Tribolium castaneum: one gene and its partner. The protein of the gene in region 2 binds, or shares a complex with, the protein of the main gene of each other region. Links are inferred from orthologs where the notes say so. Each region holds a gene or a part of one and is shown on either strand. Other genes may lie near its edges.

Region 1 (2,164 bases), on a different chromosome or scaffold from region 2:
CCGGCGGTTGAGCGACTGGCGAGGACGTATTTGAGACGTCCGGCGGTTGTGTACATTGGTTCGATCGGGAAACCGACGGAACGGGTCGAACAAATTGTGCATATTATGACTGAGAACGATAAGAGGAAGAAGTTGATGGAGTATTTGTCCAAAGGGGTCGATCCACCGATTATTATTTTTGTTAATCAGAAGAAAGGGGCCGATGTTTTGGCCAAAGGGTTGGAGAAGTTGGGCTACAATGCGTGTACGCTCCATGGGGGTAAGGGGCAGGAGCAGAGAGAGTACGCACTGGCTAGTCTCAAGTCGGGGGCTAAGGACATTTTGGTGGCCACTGACGTGGCTGGGAGAGGGATTGATATTAAGGATGTTTCCGTTGTTATTAATTACGACATGGCCAAGACTATTGAAGGTAAGATAAGTTTGTCCCAGATTTTTTTTCTTTATGACTAGTGCAAACTGAAGAAAAAAGGAAATCTAATCTGTAATTTGTTTATTTTTTTTCAGATTACACCCATCGTATTGGCCGAACCGGCCGTGCCGGGAAGAGCGGGGTGGCTATCAGTTTTTGCACCAACGACGACTCGGCCCTATTTTACGATTTGAAGCAAATGTTGCTATCGTCACCTGTCTCAACGTGCCCCCCTGAACTAATGAACCACCCTGAATGCCAGATTCGGCCCAATCAGCCGAAACGCCGCCGCGACGAAATGATTTTCGCTTAATTAAAATAAAACTCGATGTTTACTTAGCCTTTATTCTTAAAAACAAAATCTTATTACACTAGTGGTCAATTATTATGAGTTCGTCTATGCCCCAATCCTCGTACGAGTGGTCGGGTAAATAACGCCGGATTATGATGGGGATTTTCCGTTGTTTGAGTTCTTTCATTGCGATTTGAAGCGGGTCTGTCTCTCCGTCTAGTTCCACCATAACTGGGGCACACATGGCGATTTGCAAAGCTCTTGTTCCCAAAACACGAGCTCTTTCGTATTTGGTCATGTATTTGGTTGTTATGCGTTTGTTTTTGGGCACTCCGCCCCCGGCTTGGCCATGAGCGAGGATGTCGATGTTGTCGCCTTCCTCCTCGGGCTGCTCCAGCTCCTCGATGTTGTCGTCATCGACGTCGTCGTCGAAGTCGTCCCCCACGTCATCACCGTCGAATTCTTCGTCATTCATTCTCGATTTCTAGCTAATTGACTAATTTAAAGGCATACACAAACATAGCACAACGTTCAGATGTCAAATGCGTCAAACGTCAAAAGTATTGGTTATTGGAGAGTTGCACGAAAGTGCATCAGTCCGAAACTTGTTATCGGTTCAAACAATACTTTTACTTTAGTGTATTGTTGGTTGCGTCGCAGTTGCGATAAAAACTTTTTTTGATGAAATTTTGATTGTTACGATTTTTTTAAGTTTAGTTAACAATTTGGTGCGAAAAAAATAAAACACATTAAATTCAAGCAACTTTATTGTATAAAATAATTGCATTTGTTCCAGACTTTATAAAATACCGTCTTGTCTATTATAGTGGCGGTCAGCTCGATTTGCGTGTGCGTCAATTTCATTTTTTCATTACCAACACAAAGCTATAAAAATTGTCAAAAACAATGCAAATTTAAACAGCTAAGGGCTATCTAAGGGTGGTATCCTTGAACATTAATTGACATTGACAGTAAATTATAGACGTCGTCGCATCGTTGTCGAAAGTGTGTGTTATCGGTGTTAATCGTAAGTATTTTCTGTTCGTTTATTGTGTTTTGTGATTTGCGTTTCGTTAGGTTTTTGATTCTGCGTTTATTAGTTCTTGTTTTGTGAATCTGTATTTTTTGTAACAACTTCGTAACCTCAAAAAATATTTGATAGTTTGTCACCGCTATGCCCCTGCTGTGTAAACGTAGTGAGAGAAATGTCAGATGACGCACACGCAAATGGAGCTGAGCGCACCATTGCAGTTTTGTCTAGAAATGGTAAAAATAACTGCGATTTATTGCGATGTTTAAATCACAGTGTTTGTCTAGTTAACAAACCATTTTTTGTGGTAGTTTCTAGCGTACGACTGCTTATTGATTAATTGAATAAAACGCAGACGGAGCTCGTCATAAAGCTCAAATAATTAAATAATTGCAAACAAGTTGAGAATTAAAAACCTTAGCCTAGTCATAAG
Region 2 (3,826 bases):
AAATGACCCACTTGTTCTCCTTCTGTCGCCTCCTATTATCATCCTCGTTGAGGACTTTTTTCAACTGTAAAAACAACTGGTGTTTCTCCTCTTTCAGTTTCTGGAGCTTGCTCTCAAGCTGTGAGATCTGTTCGCGGGTTTCACCCAAAGTCATGACGTCTTGTTGCTCGCGAGCTTCGCGTTCTTTACGGAGACGTTCCTCTTCCACTTCGGCCTCCCGTTCTTGCTTTTTGCGAGCGCGCTCACGCAGAATGTGCGCTTTGAGCACCTTCCACATCTGCTCGGACCGATCCGGCTTGCTGTTGTCCACAGCGGCAGGCATTTTGCACAAATTACGAATTATTTCGTATTGTTATTTTACAGGAACTGTCAATGTCAACATGACGTTTGACACTTGTCGGCAGGATTGCCAACAATTTATTGGCCAGATTTTAACCAAAATTGGGCGAAAACTCAAATTTTTGACCCGCTTCCACATGTTTTTTTTAGTTTAAGCACTTGGGCCGAAACTCCCAACATTTTGATACGAATTTGTAGCGAAAAACGCCCGTTTCGCGTGAAAACAGAATTGGTTTAGATTGGCGATACTGTTTCATCCGCGAGGGAATTTTAAATGAAACACGATCAGTGGTAAAGTTTTTATTAAATCTAAATTAATTTCCTTTCGAATATCGCTTCCAGAACTTTTTAACATCATCATGTGCCGATTTATTGATGATTAGAGTCCGTTTTTCTTTGTTACACCAAATTAGATGGCCATTAGACTGTGCATACTCTTTCAGTATATTAAAATCAGCCTAAAACACAAATTAAAACCGCGTAACAATTTTTCTTGTAATACCTGTGATAGGAATTGGCTGTATAAAACGCCCTCTGAATACGTTAATCTGTTCCGCTCAATTTCCCACAGTTTGATTTGATCCACAACTGTCGGAGGTAGAGGATGTTTGGCCTCACCTTCCAACATTTGAGGATGTGCATGTTGTTTGAGGTACCCGATAATTTGATCGGCTGTGATTCCCCCTTTCAAAGCCTGTCTTATGGAATCACGTGTTATTACGCCCACTACAAGGTTCGGAAACCTGGGAAAAGTCCGATAGTCATAACATTTTTTTATTTATTTTGTGACCCACCTATACATCAGTTCTGTGAAAAGACCAATTAAAGCAACTTGAAGATTAGAATCCGTGTAAGCATAAACCCTGTAGTTTGTCTCTACAATTATGTAACCTTTTGGAGTGTCTTCCTCCAAAATTCGAGTTTCGGGGCCTTGGCTACACGTAATATTTAAGGCCAATCTGGTCGGGTAAAAACGGCCTGCTTTGCGCTACAAAATTAATTACATTAATCATGGGTGCTGTGGAATGTGACGTCCAGAAAAAAAAATTTGGTAACCATGGTAACGAAAACAAGACCTACTTTTCTTTGATACACTAATCCGAATTCTCTCAAGTGTTGGAGAAAAATTAAAAGGCCGGGACTCATGCCTTCAGTGCTATAATCCTACAAAAAAATGTTGCTATTAAAAAAAAACGCCAAGTGTTATGAGTTATGACATACTTTTCCAAGTGTACTAAATGAGAGTTGGAATAAAAACGTTAAACATTCAACCAGACTTAATCCTCTTTGCTCAACTGTGTCGAGATATTGGAGTAAAAAATGCCAAACTTGTGCTTGCCTATCTAAGAGTAAAAACTGGAAGCCTTGACGTGTTATAACAGGACTGCCATCTTCCTCGTCTCTACATAAATATAAATAAGATAACGAGTCAATTTTGGAGAAATTCAACCTTTTCATAAGCCCAGCGTGTAGTAAAATTCTGACAGCATCCGCAGAAATTCCCTCTTGTTGTTGCGACCCCACCATGTAATGTAACACACATTCCCACCGTTCGAGCGAATAAGCGTCCAAAAAAGACACATCTCTTGCCTTACTGTCAACTTCTAAAGCCGAAGACATGCTCCAAGGTTTGCCCCTTGGGATAAATCACGCAGTCATTGCAATAATCACACTAATTACACTCTCACCCCCCTAATAAGGCAATTTTCAAATTCTTTTTAAACGTAACTGAAAGGATCCAACCTAGGAGCCCCCCTGGAATCGCAGCCTCCTGCCATACCGACAATTCGCTCAAAACCTTACTCACATAAACGTGCTCTCTACAAATAACCCCCCTTTTCGTGTGTACAAGCGCATTTAAACACTCACTTGGAAAAGGCCTGAGCCCCCCATGACGCCACAACTGCCTGGGGCACCGGCTGTTCAACGAACAAAATTCGAATCACGTACTGGCGTGCCAGTTCTGGCAATTCTCTAAAATCGTCAATCGAAATTTGGAATTTTAAAGTGGGTTTTTACCGGTAAACGGCCAAACAAATCGTTGGATGGTTGTAGAGTTTTTCCAACGTTGCCGAAGAGCGCGTTTTTAAGTAGTCGTACAAGTTTTTACATTCTAAGTTTGTTGGTTTCAAAAAAAGCGAGCTGGGTTGCGCGGGCTCGGCGTCTGCCATTTAAACAGCCCCCTTGCAAACTTAAAATTAGGGTTAGGGTAACTACTGTCAACGCAATTGTCAGATTTAAAGCTAACCCAACTTTTCCTCCGAAGGAGTTGTTATTTAATTAACCACTCGCTTCGTCTTAATAAGTGTAGAAAAAACTTGGTTTTCGCTCTGCTTCGAAATGCCAAGTTTTTGGGCATAAAATATTTTGGCTATGTTTTTTTAATTATTCAAACGTTGGGGAATTTGGGTGGCAGGGTTGGTCAAAAATATTACGGTGACGATAGCACTTTGGAAAGAGCTAGCACCATGAAATTTCCAGCGGACCAGTCAAATCACGGATGTGCGTTTTCAGCACTTTGCGACGTTGCTACGTTTCTCACAAATTATAAGAAAATAAATTATTTACTCATTTTCTTTTAAAATTCAAGTGTATTGTTATTAAAAAAAATAAAGTAAATGCAATTTCAAACTTGTTGTATCTTTGAAAGCAATGGGGGATGTAGATAGTTTACTAGTTGACACAAAAAGGTGAAACCGCCTAATAAAGGCAAAACAAAAACGAGGAGGGCATGCTACCCAATTATTTAGGGGGCAGATTCCACCTAAATAAGATAATTATTCGTTAATTTCTTCTTCAAAAACATTATTTGAAAAAAAAAGTTAATAGAACGACATACTAATTCAAACAGAGGGTTAGATGTCTTCCCAAACTTTTAGAGGATTGAAATTTTCAAGAAAGGTAGGTATTTAATGGGCTTTCATGTGGAATGGGTTAAATGCGTCGACAAAAAGAAATAGTACTAGAAAAAAATATTTAATATTATTAATAAAATGTTGACATATTTCAAACTAAGGGTTGGATGTCTTCCCAAACTTTTAGAGGGTTGAAATTTTCAGGAAAGGTAGAGTATTTAATGGGCTTTCATGTGGAATGGGTTAAATGCGTCGACAAAAAGAAATAGTACTAAAAAAAATATTTAATATTATTAATAAAATGTTGACATATTTCAAACTAAGGGTTAGATGTCTTCTTAAACTTTTAGAGGGTTGAAATTTTCAGGAAAGGTAGAGTATTTAATGGGCTTTCATGTGGAATGGGTTAAATGCGTCGACAAAAAGAAATAGTACTAGAAAAAAATATTTAATATTATTAATAAAATGTTGACATATTTCAAACTAAGGGTTGGATGTCTTCCCAAACTTTTAGAGGGATGAAATTTTCAGGAAAGGTAGAGTATTTAATGGGCTTTCATGTGGAATGGGTTAAATGCGTCGACAAAAAGAAATAGTACTAGAAAAAAATATTTAATATTATTAATAAAATG

What was found.
Region 1: mrn (region 2) and Polr2F share a complex: the UniProt entries of both Homo sapiens proteins name them as parts of the TBP-based Pol II pre-initiation complex. The link is inferred for Tribolium castaneum from reciprocal best matches to the Homo sapiens genes GTF2H4 and POLR2F.

What each region holds. Positions count from the first base shown.
Region 1 is NC_087398.1:1,182,310-1,184,473, reverse strand, and holds Polr2F (DNA-directed RNA polymerases I, II, and III subunit RPABC2), read right to left. Parts: upstream 1,177-2,164; coding exon 781-1,176; 3' UTR 735-780; downstream 1-734. Other genes in the region: probable ATP-dependent RNA helicase DDX23, read left to right, coding at 1-409, 505-722. UniProt on the Homo sapiens protein: DNA-dependent RNA polymerase catalyzes the transcription of DNA into RNA using the four ribonucleoside triphosphates as substrates.
Region 2 is NC_087396.1:20,771,766-20,775,591, forward strand, and holds mrn (general transcription factor IIH subunit 4), read right to left. Parts: upstream 2,711-3,826; 5' UTR 2,588-2,710; intron 2,562-2,587; exon of another isoform or gene 2,531-2,561; 5' UTR 2,511-2,530; coding exon 2,359-2,510; intron 2,314-2,358; coding exon 2,209-2,313; intron 2,160-2,208; coding exon 2,028-2,159; intron 1,976-2,027; coding exon 1,790-1,975; intron 1,742-1,789; coding exon 1,561-1,741; intron 1,504-1,560; coding exon 1,420-1,503; intron 1,328-1,419; coding exon 1,134-1,327; intron 1,083-1,133; coding exon 842-1,082; intron 798-841; coding exon 654-797; 3' UTR 627-653; downstream 1-626. Other genes in the region: G protein pathway suppressor 2, read right to left, coding at 12-322. UniProt on the Homo sapiens protein: Component of the general transcription and DNA repair factor IIH (TFIIH) core complex, which is involved in general and transcription-coupled nucleotide excision repair (NER) of damaged DNA and, when complexed to CAK, in RNA transcription by RNA polymerase II.